3 linked regions of the Arabidopsis thaliana genome follow. The protein of the gene in region 2 purifies or fractionates together with the protein of the main gene of each other region. This does not show direct contact. Each region holds a gene or a part of one and is shown on either strand. Other genes may lie near its edges. The genes, in order: AT5G02680, AT1G18130 and AT3G02760.

The links.
Region 1: the proteins of AT1G18130 (region 2) and AT5G02680 fractionate together in Arabidopsis thaliana (co-fractionation; one large-scale study listed by BioGRID). This does not show direct contact.
Region 3: the proteins of AT1G18130 (region 2) and AT3G02760 fractionate together in Arabidopsis thaliana (co-fractionation; one large-scale study listed by BioGRID). This does not show direct contact.

Annotation. Positions count from the first base shown.
Region 1 is NC_003076.8:601,861-606,941, reverse strand, and holds the start of AT5G02680 (methionine-tRNA ligase), read right to left. Parts: upstream 2,025-5,081; 5' UTR 1,926-2,024; intron 1,218-1,925; 5' UTR 1,028-1,217; intron 898-1,027; 5' UTR 878-897; coding exon 832-877; intron 721-831; coding exon 644-720; intron 546-643; coding exon 510-545; intron 336-509; coding exon 213-335; intron 1-212. Other genes in the region: AT5G02670 (uncharacterized protein), read left to right, coding at 2,336-2,605, 2,696-2,822, 2,960-3,189, 3,359-3,529, 3,651-3,971; AT5G02660 (ubiquitin carboxyl-terminal hydrolase-like protein, putative (DUF627 and DUF629)), read right to left, coding at 4,471-4,611, 4,695-5,081.
Region 2 is NC_003070.9:6,233,579-6,238,659, reverse strand, and holds the start of AT1G18130 (Class II aaRS and biotin synthetases superfamily protein), read right to left. Parts: upstream 2,766-5,081; coding exon 2,718-2,765; intron 568-2,717; coding exon 346-567; intron 251-345; coding exon 179-250; intron 94-178; coding exon 22-93; intron 1-21.
Region 3 is NC_003074.8:598,132-603,212, forward strand, and holds the start of AT3G02760 (Class II aaRS and biotin synthetases superfamily protein), read right to left. Parts: upstream 2,653-5,081; 5' UTR 2,520-2,652; coding exon 1,170-2,519; intron 1,096-1,169; coding exon 916-1,095; intron 826-915; coding exon 568-825; intron 485-567; coding exon 71-484; intron 1-70. Other genes in the region: AT3G02770 (Ribonuclease E inhibitor RraA/Dimethylmenaquinone methyltransferase), read right to left, coding at 2,886-3,202, 3,570-3,753; IPP2 (isopentenyl pyrophosphate:dimethylallyl pyrophosphate isomerase 2), read right to left, coding at 4,447-4,697, 4,790-4,927, 5,026-5,081.

The sequences.
Region 1 (5,081 bases), on a different chromosome or scaffold from region 2:
AGATTGAAAACCAAAAATCGCAAGCAAACATTTTACAATAGTCTGATGTCCTGCGATTCAAATATCTCTCACTTGCACACACCAACTGGCTGGTTTGAATAAAAGAATACAACAGATCCCATATTTTCTTTTGGATATGCCAAACTAAAAAGCCATCTACAGGTAACACCAAATACTTAAAAATATTGAATTTGAAAGTAAGTATAACCAACCTGCATTATCATGTGCTTTGCTATAAAACTCAGAGCTCGATTAACAGAGTTGCCTAGGTTGTTCAGAAACTCGCCATTCAGTTTTGCTTGCAAATCATTCCATGGAAACAATGTGTCAGACACCTAGAAGGCAGAGTCCCCAGAGCAAACCAGTGTTGGTGACATTTACACGTTTATGCATGCCTATGATGAACGAAGAAACACCTAGAAGGCAGCGATCAGTTACTTCAGGCCTGTTGGTCAGCAAGTAGTATCTCCATACTTGGACAGGTATATTTGTATCTATTACTTCATTACCAAACACTCCAACACCTTAACTCTTGGAGAACTTTCCTGAAAACCCATACAAAACACATGTCCTCATTTTCTAGAAATGGAAGAAAAAAGCAAATCAAACAGAAACACTCAGCTATGGTGAAACATCAACTGACCGTCTTCGTAGTTTTCTGATTGTCTTCATCAGTGTCCAATTTTCCCCAGTGCCAAGCCACGTAGAAGGAACCATCACCTGCACAAACAAAAAAATGAGCAGTTGAAAACAATCAAATTCACAAAAGATAAACCTTTCTTAAGAAGACCTTGAGGATATAGCTTCAGAAAAGACAAGAACCAAACAGACCTTTTTTGTGTGTTCTATCTGATAAGATCCTCAAGGACAGAGACATCCATGGGGATCACAGTCACACTGGAAAAGAAAGAGTAGAGGTTTCAGGCTATGAAGTGGAAGTACTTACGACAAAGGCAAAGTCTTCAAGGGCAGCACCAGAGTAGAGGTTTCAGGCTATGAAGGGGATTACAGTCACAATGAAACTCACCAGGGCAGCACCAGATCTTCCACCATCCAGAAGACATATTTACAGTAATTTCTTGCTTCCGTGGGAACATCAAAGGGATAAAATGGCGCAGCCACATTTGCTACTCCTTTAACCATGATGACATTGTCAAAATCTTCAGCAGAGACTTCCCAAATCTTGGTGTTCTTATTGATAGTACCAGCATTGTTAACTGCAACATGCATTTACCAACATCTAAGACCAACGAAAACATTTCCCAAGAGCAAAGCTGACACCTTTATTACAAGGGCTACCAAACATTTTAGGAACAATCTCATAATTTCTCCAAAACAACTAGTAGTTACAAGATTCAAAAACCACTAAAAAAAAAAATCTCATGACATCCTCATGCAGGTGGTGCACTCAAGGCTGAGACTTCAAAATAGGATATCAGAGGTCAAATATCCGTAGCTTCATATATACAGAGTTTTGAGATAAAAGCATAAAACATCAAATGTAAATCCAGATAAAAATCAACTGTTTCAAGCAAAGTTCCAAATTAGCATATAACGAGTCCGTGTTCAAAGGTCATCATAACGAGGCATTTTCAACGCTATAACAAAAGCACAGATCCAAATCAGCAGCAAAAACAACACACACACACATTCATACAGAGACCGACTACACCAAGTTATTGTTTAAGCATCGAAACCGAAACCAAATTTGGTAACCTAAAACTAGTTGATTTTGTAAAAAGTAACAAATCTCTCTCACTCAATATCAAACAGAGAAATTTGGCAGCTGAGTAAACATTTCATCGAGAAGAAAAAAAAAACGTCAAAAGACGAAACCCAGAAATATCACCAAACGAAGTCCAAAGGAAACACCACGAAGCAAAGATCTCGAGAAAAAAAAAAAAAAATCGAATTCAAAAGCATACCTTCAGAAAAAAAAGATCGAATCGAAAACACACAATGTCCAAAAAGTCAAAACTGGTCTCGCTCTTTCTCGGGTCTCCCCTTTAGACAATAATAATATCACGGACATTATTAAGTAGAAGAAAAGAAAAGAAAAAATCCAACGGTCAGGATTTCGTTTATTCCTCAACCATTGTCGATTCAAAAAACAAAAGAAGCTGCTCCTAGCCACAGACTCTGACTCAACGTCAAGAACAGCAATCTCACTGTGCTTTTTCTTCTCATTACTCGAAGTCAAAAGTCAAAACTGGTCTCTCTTTCTTCTTCAGACAATAATATCACGGACATTAAAAAGAAAAAGAAAAACCAATCCAACGGTCAGGATTCGCTGCTCCTAGCCACAGAAAGTAACGATTACAGACTCTGATTCATCATGTCTAGAACAGCAATCGAAGGAGGAGGAAAAAGCTTTGACCTTAGCGACAGATTTGTGTTCTCCAACAACAGAAGATTGAGAATTCGATCTTTCAAGGAGCATCGTGGACTTGTTTTCTTCACCATTGGATTTCGATTACAGTCACAATCACATGTCCTAATTTTTGATGATTTACTCTCTGGTTTTGGCATTGATAGGTTCTTTATTCACCACGAAGAAAAACCCACATCGGAATTGGCTCGGATTACTATGAGGAGGTCACCAAGTGTCAAGAACAAAAATGTTGCATATCACCTATTCGACATAATGCTTCACAGAGGCTAACTAGCTTATTGGAAATTGCAACAGATGATGCAGGTTGCGTGGAGAACATCTCAGGCTTCTGCAGAGAATGAAGAATTTTGTTTGAGCTCTATCCGTATGCAAACACATGTACACCTCTCGGCTGCTAATCAGGAACATCTCAGTGGTTGGGTTAAGTCACGTTTCCGTTGTCTTCTGATCAAGTTACCCACTTCCCATCTTTTGGTTCAACTCTTTGGGGATACGAAATCTTCTGTGTTCTGTCTCATAGTCTGTGACTGTAGCCTTTGCTTTGTTCCACATGTTATTGAAATACAGGAAGTCTATGGCATTTTTGTGATCCAAACCCATCAGAGCAAAGCAGCCACACATTATTGTCTTTTACTGGGGATTACACCTCACTGAATCTCAACAATGGAAGCTTCCTGGGACCAGTTGGTAGAATCCAGTTATCGGTTTTGAAAGCATCTCAGCTACCTAAGAATTGTGAGTGTGCTAGCAACAACAGAAGCAAGAAGGTGACAAAGACCTGTTGCTTGGAGATTCTGGTAAGATATCTATGTGTTGTGGAAACTGGGAACTAAAAGAAACCTATTACAAAGGTGACAAGACCTGTTGGAGAATCTGAGAAGATATCTATGTGTTGTGGAAACTGGGAACTAAAAGAAACCTATTACAAAGCAGCCAAATGTTATTGTCTTTTACTGGGGATTTCAGCTCAGAACCATAAATGTTCCGGACACTGAATCTGTGGAGACAGACTCTCTCTGCAGAATCTCAACAGCTTCCTGCTTCCAGGGACCAGTTGGCAGAATCCAGTCATCGGTTTTGAAAGCATCTCAGCTGCCTAAGAATGGTGAGTGTGCTAGCAACAACAGAAGCAAGAAGGTGACAAAGACCTGTTGGTTGGAGAAATCTGGGAAGATATCTATGTGTTGTGGAAACTGGGAACTAAGAGAAACCTATTACAAAGCAGCCACACATTATTGTCTTTTACTGGGGATTACAGCGCAGAACCAGAAATGCTCCGGACATTGAATCTGTGGAGACAGACTCTCTCTGCAGAATCTCAACAGCTTCCTGCTTCCAGGGACCAGTTGGCAGAATCCAGTCATCGGTTTTGAAAGCATCTCAGCTGCCTAAGAATGGTGAGTGTGCTAGCAACAACAGAAGCAAGAAGGTGACAAAGACCTGTTGGTTGGAGAAATCTGGGAAGATATCTATGTATTGTGGAAACTGGGAACTAAGAGAAACCTATTACAAAGCAGCCACACATTATTGTCTTTTACTGGGGATTACAGCGCAGAACCAGAAATGCTCCGGACATTGAATCTGTGGAGACAGACTCTCTCTGAAGAATCTCAACAGTGGAAGCTAGGGTTGGATCAGTGGAGACAGACTCTCTCTGAAGAATCTCAACAGTGGAAGCTAGGGTTGGATCAGTGGAGACAGACTCTCTAAAGACTTGTTAGGTTGGTCCTAGTGTTTTGTATATGTTTTCAAATATCCGTAGCTTCATATATGTATATATAGATATAGTTTTGAGATTAAACAACAAATGAAATCAACTGTTTCAAGCATAGTTCCAAGCTAGCTATAGAGTCGTGTAACTTCAGTGAAGATCATCATAACGAGACCTTTTCAAAGCTATAGCAAGAGCACTAATCCAAACCAGCAGCAAAAACAACACACATTCACAGAGACCAAGTTATTTTTGAGTCAGAAATCAATATTTGGTAACTCTAAACTTGTTGGTTTGTAAAAAGTGAAAAATGAACATATCTCTCTCACTCAAACACAAATCAAATATGGTAAAAAACCTCTCTCACTCAGAGCTTGGTTAACAGAAACTTTTTGAGGTGTCTAGCAACATAAGATCTGTAGTCAAAAAACGCTAGTTGGTTGAGCTCACCAAGTAGAGCAATCCTTGACTTTTCAATCAAGAGGATACTAGAGTCAGTTTCAGCAACCTGCAGCAAAAGGAATTGTCCTAGGTTAAAAAAGGGTTTAACAGGTTTAAAAAAGGAAGATTTAGGAGCTGTTAGAAGCTAACCTCTTCTAGGACCCCTGAGAAGAGATTACCAATGGAAGCTAAAATGTCGTCGTCATCCGTCAGCTTACTTAGGATATCTATATGTGCTACATAAAATTCTGGTGATGTTTCAGGTAGAAGAGTTGCAAGAACCTGCTTCGTTTCATCCTTCTCCTTTTTCTTCTGTTGACAAAGAATTTGGGCTTCGTGCAAAGCATTGGAATCCTCTACTAACTGCTTCTTACGAGCTATTTTTGCCACCAAGAGACTAACGGTGAGGTGAATGGCTCGTAGTACAGCCAGCCATATCCCATAGTTGTTAGCGTCAGGGGGTTTTGGAAACACAAAGCCATCCTCTTCTTGTGAAACATTCACATTGTCATGTAACCACGTTAAGATAGCATCACC
Region 2 (5,081 bases):
TGAGCAAAACTGGATTCTAACCTGTCCCGTTCTAGCCTCTTCATCACCCACGACTAGTATGTAGTTGTAGTGTGCAACCTGAGCTTCTTGCACCTACTCACAACCACAATCATCATTCAAAATGTATACGGGAACATAAACCTCAATGGTTTGTGCTCAGGGACCTTGTAACAGTTACCTTGTCACTGACGTTTCTATCCGTTGTGTCAACATCAACATAGTAGCCAGCTTCGTGAATTTGATCTCTCACCTGTTTGAATATACGCAAACAAAGGAAATTAGGAAGAGAGATATAATAAGACTCTGCAAGTAAACTCGTTAAGAGTACAGTCATGAATGTATAACCTTGTCTGCGTAGGAACGATAATCCTCTGAAACAGAGCAAACTATGGCCTGGCGGGGACTAAGCCAGAAGGGGAATTTTCCTTTGTACTGTTCCAACAATATGGCAAAAAGACGCTCAACAGAGCTCAACACCGCTCTATGTATCAGCACAGATCTCTCTATCATAGTTTCATTCTCAGCTGAATATTCTAGTTTGAAGCGATCACGAAGGTGAAAATCAACCTGATATTAGGCAACAGCAGAAACGACACACTAAATAAACTGCCAAGAGAAATGCAGGGAATAGAAAAAAAAAAAAAAAAAAGAGTTTGGGAGCCAAACCTGTATAGTAGCACACTGGAATATAGGCACTTTCTTTTATGTTTTAAATAAAAACAAATATAGGCATTTTCTATATATTTACTTTTGTTAAGCTTTTCATTCACTATCTTTCTTTAACATCTTTAAATTAATAAAATGTTTTCTTAATGAATTTAGTTTAGTTTATTTAAGAAAAATAAAACGTTAAATTCTAAAACTTTGATTAAAAATAAAAAATTGGGAGATTTGTAAAACTACCATTTATTTACTACCATTTTGTAACAATACCCTATTATGTTGTTCATTTTTAAAAATATCCCTTCCCTTGAACAAAATGATTATATTACCCTCATCTAATAGGAACATGTAATTGGAAACTGAATTTTTTCCGCCAATTTTTTGGCGCCAAAATTTATTTTTCCCGCCGATTTTTGGCGCCAAAATTATTTTTCCCGCCGATTTTTTGGCGCCAAAAATTTTTTTTTCCGCCAAAAAAATATTTCCGCCAAACTTTTTTCCCGCTAAAAAAAAAATTCCCACCAAATTTTTTTTCGTAACAAATATTTTCTCAGCCGAAAAAATGCTTTTAAAAATCCTTGTAAATTTTTTTTGGCTAGAAATAAATTTACAAGGGATTTTAAAAGGGTTTTAAAAGATTTACAAGATATTTTAAAAGGGTTTTAAAAGATTTACAAGGGATTTAAAAAAGGTTTTAAAAGATTTACAATGGATTTTAAAGGATCTTCTTGTAAATTCTTTGAAAATCTTTTAAAAACCCTTGTACATCTTTTAAAACTCATTTAAACCCTTTAAAAATATCTTGTAAATCTTTTAAAATTCCTTATAAATCTTTTAAAACACTTTTAAACCCTTTAAAAAACCTTTGTAAATTTTTTAAAATCCCTTATAAATCTTTTAAAACACTTTAAACCCTTTAAAAATTTTAAAAAAACCTTTGTTAATCTTTTAAAGCCCTTTAAAATTCCTTTTAAATATTTTAAAACCCTTTTAAAATCCCTTGTAAATCTGTTAAAAACCTTTTAAAATCCCTTGTAAATCTGTTAAAAACCTTTTAAAATCCCTTGTAAATCTTTTAAAATCTCTTGTAAATCTTTTAAAACTCCTTTTAAAATCCCTTGTAAATCTTTTAAAACCCTTTTAAAATCCCTTGTAAATCTATTTCCCGCCAAAAAAAAAAATGCGGGAAAGAAATTTTTGAAAAAAAAATTTGGCGGGAATTTTTTTTTCGAAAAAGTTTTGCGGGAAAATTTTGGCGGGAAATTTATTTTAGAATATTTTAGACGAAAAAATATTAATATTTTATTTTGTTAACCTAAAATAATTTTTAAATAGGGGTAAAATGGTCATTAAAAATTTAAAGAGGGTATAAATGAAAATGGATAAAACAAAAGGGTAGAGTTGAAAAGGGGCATTATGAAAAGGGCATTAGAAAGAATTTTTCAACTTTCTAATGTAAAGTGGTTGAACTTTGTTTACATAACAAAAAAAATTGTTTTGATTAATCAAAGAAATGAATTGACTTTATTATCCATTAAGACAACAATGTTTGAAAAACTCGATTACGTGAATTTGATGAATAGTTTTGTAGGCAAAAATCTAAATAGAGCTATATTTAAAAATATAATTTTGTTTTTTTCCCTCTTTTTTACTTACAAAACGCTTATAAAATGTTATAAAAAATGTTCTATAAAGTTTTAGTATAACTTTTATATATTATTATTATTTGTGATTATGCAAACAAATAAAAGACACAATTTGTTTATTTTCATAAGGCATTTTTGCATGACAGACCGGCTCTGCCGTTGAGACGGTAATTTACTATTGCAAGAAACTCGCAAACGCCAAATAAGGGATGTATGTGACTAAGGAACTATTCTTCGACATAAACCGCGAGGTACGCTTACGTAATCCACACAAGCTCGTCAAACTGGTGAAGGTTAGCCCCAATCCTCGTATTTAACATTGCGCTTTGTCAAAAAAAATGCTATTGAAAAGGGCCCAAAAAATTCTGAATGTTTTTTCAAAGATACATCCTATAAATTGAGGTTCACGGCAGAGGATAGGTTTGTTTCATCCTCATCGGGATGATTCTTCGACATTGGTGGAGCAGCAGAGAACGAAGACGATGAGAAATTTGTAAAAAGTTGTGAGACGGACGTCGATAGGTTTTAGTTTCGGACTTTGGAGTTTCAGGGAGGGAGACCTTGTTTTTAATTTTGAAGCGTACTATGGGCCATGGGGGTGTCTTTTTTCCCAACAAATAGGAATTTTTGATATTTTAATATATTAACTTTAAATTATTATGAAACTAACAAGTTATTACTATTTCATAACAACCATTTATAGTTTATTATAATTAAAGCAATAAACGATTAGTATAGAAAATGTAGATTTTTTGCCCCAAAAAGAACATAAAGATATAATTATATCTATACATATTGGGAAATATATCTAAGGTATTTTTTCAACATTTTATAAAATAGTACTCATTTAATTCATTATTAAAATATTTCAACTAAAAAATAATTATTAAAATACCAAATTTTCTAATTAAACCCCTAAAATAAAATGGAACAGAATTGTTGTAAAGAAAGAAAAAAGATTAGACACTATAGAAAAAATAATAATAAAATAAAGGAAGAAAAGACAAGAATGGAAACAATAAAGAAGATTGTCGAACACTTCAACTTATCAAATATGAGCTTAATTAGGTTAACAATCTTGTATATTGCAAACGATATATCTCTACAGAAAAGATGAGCATTGTGCCTTCGAACGATCTTGTATATTTCAAACGATCCAGAAGAAACCTTTAAAATAGCTCTATTCTAACATATTTCGAACTTGCTTTCTTTTGTCAACAAGCATGCATCTTATATTATTGTAAACGACAAATCTTATTATATGAAGTATGGTTTTCAAAGTTACTAACTCATAAGATTATGCCACATGTCAAGTCTATCGATCAGATGTTGACATGTGTAAGAAAATAATTAACTTTTTTCTTCTTAAAGAAATAGAAATACTAAAAAAGAAATCAATTAACTTTTTTCTTCTTAAAGAAATAGAAAACTAAAAAATAAATCATTATTAACATATACTAATTCATATTTCTATATCTAAAAAATCTTACATTTTATTTTTCTTAACCAAAAGGAAAATTAACAAAAAAAAAAATTATATATGTTATTGGTCAAATTTTTAATATATATGGTATTAACAAATGTTTTATTATTATGAATTATGTTTTGTTAATTGTTAATAATTTTTAATATCTTATTATATAAAGTATGGTTTTCAAAGTTACTAACTCATACGATTTTGCCACGTGTCAAATCTATCAATCAGATGTTGACATGTGTAAGAAAATAATTAACTTTTTTCTTCTTAAAGAAATAGAAATACTTAAAAAGAAATCAATTAACTTTTTTCTTCTTAAAGAAATAGAAAACTAAAAAATAAATCATTATTAACATATACTAATTCATATGTCTATATCTAAAAAATATTACATTTTATTTTTCTTAACCAAAAGGAAAATTAACAAAAAAAAAAAATTATATATGTTATTGGTCAAATTTTTAATATATATGGTATTAGCAAATGTTTTATTATTATGAATTATGTTTTGTTAATTGTTAATAATTTTAATATTAACTAAGATATAGATTTGATCTCATATATATATATATATATATATTATTTTGACATGAAATCATTATCAAGTAAGATGAAGTGTGTAGAATTAAAATCGAGTTTTTTATGAAATAGATAGTTAAATTGTATTACAAAATTGAATGTATAAGATAAAAATTTATTTTTTCTTCTAAATACTAAATTATAATATAAAAAAGTGTGTAGGTTACTATTTAGACTTCAAATATCATCAATAAGACTGAATGGGTATAACAAAATAAAATGCATAAGACTACTATTTTACTATTCAAAATTATAAGAACAATGTATCGACTATTATTTTACTATTCAAAATTTAAATATTATCGATAAAAATTACATTTACATCTTACACCCGCCTATTTAGGCGGGTCTTATCTAGTTATTTATAAATAAAAGACAAGAGAACAAGAAGAGAAAACATTATAATTAGTATAGTCGTACGTCTTTACCCATCAGTTGTGATGGTGGAGCCGATTGGTTGCCAATACTCACGCATAGGCTCATTAATAGGATAGACAATAAGCTCACGAAGGGTCATTGGCTGAACGACGTTAGCGTCAGCTCCAAAGAAAAGATGAGCATTGTGCCTTCTCAGTGTTGTGACGTCCGTCCGGGATTTGTTTTAGCAAGGTCGTTCAACATTGGACCAATCTTCTCGTTGTGTTGTTTGACTAAATCGTTGAGTGGCTCGTAACACTCGTTGCCCTGTCTTGTATTCTTGTCTCGATATTGGTAAG
Region 3 (5,081 bases), on a different chromosome or scaffold from region 2:
GAAGAATTCAAAGGCCATACACTACAATTTCTTTAATTGAATTGCAGGAAGCCAAAATGCGGGATTTTACCTCTGCTCCTATACAAACAGCTTCAAAGATGACGCCGGTGTAGTAATCAAGACCTCTAGCTAGACTTAGATCAAAGACTATTCTCTCACTGCACTTTGATCTTTTAAGAGCTTCAAACATGATACTCAACTCATCAAGAGCTTCTCTTGATGACTGGTTATCTAAGAACTCACTCCCTTCTTGTCTCAGTTTAGACAACAGCTCCAAAGGAGCTCCCTTCTCCTTAACGAAGTTGCCAATTCTGTCTGCAATCTCTGAAGACAAGCCCTTCTCCTCCACCATTTCTTTCTTCACTTGCTCAAACGATTGCTTGTCTAGCTTGTCGATACTCGAACAGATGGTTCTGAATTTCTCAGGTGGTACTCCACATATCTCCAGCATTCCATCAAGCAACTTGCGGTGATTCAGTTTCACCTATTTAAACAAACCAGAATTAAGAACATAGCCAAAGAAAAAACCAACCAGGAAAGATTAAGACTTTCAACTTAAGTTATTACCTCATAATCTCCTATTTCTAACTCATCGAGGAGTTCAGTTAATATCTTGACAATTTCAAAATCGGGTCCCATTGGTTCGAACAAACCAGCGATATCAAAATCACACTGATAAAACTCTCTGTATCTCCCTTTAGATGGATTATCCCTTCTGTACACCTTTGCTATTTGGTATCTTTTGAATGATGTGATTCCATTCATAGCCACATACCGTGCAAATGGAACAGTTAGATCATATCGTAAAGAGCAAAGCTCTCCACCCTGCAATTAATAGATCCATATGAGCTCAAATTTTGACAAACAAATCATCACATAAACTGATGATATTACAGCAGCCAAGAAGAGTTCTACCTGATCAGCAATATCATAAACCAATTTCGAGTCTTCTCCGTACTTTCCCATAAGGGTCTCTCTCAATTCAAAAACAGGAGTATCAAGTGCAGTTGCACCATGCCTCTTGAAAACGTTTTGTATGATTGAAAAGGCTTTTTCTCGGACTGCCATTTGTTCTTTAGCGAAATCTCGAGTTCCCTGTCATAGAATGAAACAAATCAGAAATTAACTCTGAGGCCTAAACCTTCTCCATATACGAGATTGTAATTTACCTTTGGAAGCTTGGGAAGTCTCCTATTTTCATTACTTTCTACAATCTCTTTCACTTTATCCAACAAGCTATCAAAACTGCGACCCTCTGGGTTGAAAAGATTTAAGATTTGCTCCCCACATTGCATCAATGAATGCATCTGGTCACCATCACTTGCTGCGTCATTACTCACCAATCTATCTTTGATAAACTGGATAACTAGGCTTGTCCCCTTTCCCACAACTGCTTTTTTCTCATTCTTCTTCTTTTTCTTATCGGTCTTCGACTCTTCTTTGTCCGCATCTCCGCTCTTCTGAACAAACAATTCTCCACCAGCAAGAGCAAAAAAGGCAGCAACTGCCTCCAAACCAACAATTCTCCATACAATTCCCAGACACTCATTCAGTTTGTGAGCAAACCTGCAGTAATCCTCTTCCAAATGAGCAGTATAAGCTAACTTATAGCTATTCTTTAGATTCTCATTCTCAACACAGATCTTTTCAGATAAACATTTCTTCAGATTCTCATCCACAATCTTCTCAAAACAAAGCTTAGCACGAAGGAACGAACACACTCCCAAGTTTTTAATCGCCGTTAACAAAGGTAACAATGTTGTTCCTAAAGCCTCACCAATCCCAGTGTTTCCAGACCCAGTTTTGCCTCCTTTAACACCGGAATTCAATTCTCTCCTAGCATCCGCGTGCACGCTTTTCACCACATACCTGAATTTCCCATGAATCCAAGGGATTTTCGAAATCTCTTCTATTTCTAATTTCCCTGTACCTTTATACCCGTTAAGCAAAACCTTGAGATCACCAGCAACACCAATCACATCTTTATCACCATTCCCATCTCCTGAATCCAACAAGCTAAACGAAGCTATATCAGCCTTTGTAACCTCACAACTCAACGCAGCAACAGAATCCACAATCTGTGAAAGAGTCGTCGATTTGTGATCTATAATAGAACAAATCCCAATCAACGAAGCACACGACTTCTCCAACACAATGTTTTCCCCTTCTGTCACATCAATCTCACCCAATTCCAAACTCTCAGCCTTCAAATTCAGAATCTCAACAATCTTAAGCGGAAGAACAGAACGAGCGGTGGATGAAGAAGGAGGACCAGAAGTCGACAAAATAAGCTTGTTTAAGAGAACAGCCAGAGAAGCTCGAGTTTCTTCGTTCGTTAACCCTTGAGGGATACCAAAGGAGCTCCTTTTGATCGATGGAACGTTTCTAGTGGAGAATCTCTCGATCGCAGAAGAGTCAATTCGAACATTAGCGACGCCGGAAGCAACATTGTAAACGGAGGAAGAAGATAAAGAAGAACCTTTCCCTCCGAGAGTGATGGACGATCTCTCCGCCGCCATTATCACACACAGAGCTGAAGCCGGAGTGATTAGGGTTTTCTGTCTTTCGTTGTGTTTGACCTAAAACGAAGCACTGTGAAATTGCAAGAAGGCGGATTTAGAAAATTGGTAAACTGCAAAATGACCCTCGAAGTATCCAGTTATTGGAAATTGATCTACGAAAAATGCTTGTATGGATACTTCAAGGATCTTTTTGCAATTTTCACTTTACGAAATGTTTTTTTTTATCAACTCGAAACGGATTCAATAGTTCAATAATCATATTCAAAGAAGCCAACTTTTACTCTGATAGCCATTACAGAAACACAAAGCACAAAAGTAGTAGCTTACAGATTTTAACAAATCAACAACATCACTTGTGTCCTTTTAAACGGATAATTCAATCTGAGAAACAAGGATACCATCAGTATCTGCATAAAGCCATTCGCCATCGCATATCCGAGTGCCTGCAATGTTCAAAGAGACTCTTTGTTCACCAAGTCCTTTCTTACTAGCCTTTATTGGATGAGAAGCTAAAGCTCTCACTCCAATGTCGCAACCATTGATCTCATCAACGTCTCTGATGCATCCATTCACTATGATCCCTGCCCATCCGTTGTTCTGCGCTTGTACGACCGGGTTTCCTCCTAGTATCGCACAGCGTAAACTCCCTCCACCATCCACCACAAGAACTCTACCATTGCCTGTTTTAACATTTAAAACATTATTGAGCTTTTGATGTGAATGCTACAGAGAACAGATTGGTTTATTGACTCGGGTTTTTGAAAGACCTATCTCGTCTCTAGTATTCAAGAACTTGATTAGCAAAGTGACTGAAGAAGTATATAAACACTGAGCAGTAGTTCTAAATCATAGAGAGATGATCTTAAGACTTCTTCAAACATAGTTTCAAGCAAAGAACAATTGAAACTATTTGACAAGTAAGTAACACAAGAATTGAATCTAAAATGTAACAATACCAATAAACCATGTCAAAGATACTCTGAAAGTTCATAGCTCTACGAGTAAAGTTTCAGTCTTTTGAATTTTATAAGCAAGAATCATTAATACCTTTCTCTTCGAGGAAGTGACGGATTAAGCCATTGTCTTCAAAGACTTTAACAGTAACTACTGGACCTGAAAATATTTGACGACGACCATAAATCTGAAAAACGGGTTGCAGAGCTCGGAGCTGGCCACTTCGAATCATCTCTTGATTCGCGTCACACACTTCCGCAGTGGTCACAAACGCCATTTTTTCTTCTCACCTGAATCAAGAATTATGATCAAAACAAGTAATCTGGGGATTTGATTATATGAGATTTACGAGAAATTACTCAAACACAGAAAGCAAAAGACAAATCGAGATTAGTCTAGATAAAGTGATCATATATATTCTCAGTCAATCAATCAAAACCCAGAAGGAAAGATACACACTTTTCATTCAATTCACAAGAAAACTATTTCAAAATCCATCTGGGTTTTGATCGAATCTTATTTCATTTACCTGGAATAGAAGAAACTAGGACGAAGAAGAGAACTCTGTGTGCGTAAATCTCTGAGAAATGAAGTGATGATAATTTAAAGGAGAACAAAGTCATCAACATACTTGTTTCGGTCGTTCAATAATATTAAATTAGTGACTTTTAACTTTACTTAAATCAGATGGAAGGTGGGTTGTCGTTAAGCTTCGAAAAAAGGAATCTTTGCGTTGCCTTTTCTCTGGTTTCGACTCTGTTTCCTTGTTATCCTTTTCCTCGACGCTTTTTGTACATCTCACAAACTTTGTGACATTCATTCATTAATTAAGATAAAAACGAAAACTTTATTATTGCCTGAGGTGCTTGGAAGTTTTGTAAGTGTCTCACATATCCCAAATTATTATCATCGAAAAGATAAAAATGATGAAGAGAAAGTTGATTGATTTAAAAACTTTAAAAAAAGATGTTCAGAGTTTGTGGATGGTTTTCATGTCTATAGCTTCAACCAAAGTTCCTTTCTCAACATGATCCCACCACTTCATCAAGAAATTGTCCACCACCAATCTGAACCATGGTGACAGTTTCAAACCTTCCTCACCTGCATCTGCTTTCTTCACCAGCTCCTTCAGCTCTTCCCGGCTCACATACTTGATCTCAGCTACTTCATCTGGGTTTGGTTGAACCTTCACGTCTCGCACGATGAAGAGCAAGTAATCAACTGCAAAAGGAAGGCCAACACAGAAGAAGCTTAAGGTTTTATTATTCTGTTCAAGAAAATGGGAACCAAGAGTCTTGAGAAATGGTATTTACGTTCATGCTCTCCCCATTTGCCATCAGAAGGAGCCTTGTACAGCATACGTCCCAAGGGAGTGAACTCATCGACTGGTACATCTTCAGCTACAATACCAAGCTCATCGAGAAGCTTTCTTTGTGCAGCATTCCTCACACCTGATGAGTAACAGTGAGGTCACTAGTTGAGAAAAGCTACAGTTTTCTACATAGATAGTAAAAAGAAGTACTAAATTGTTTTGCCAGTAGATACCCACCTAGTGCATTGTCCTGGATAAGCTCTGATTCACGGTAAAGAGGATGGCTGCAACAA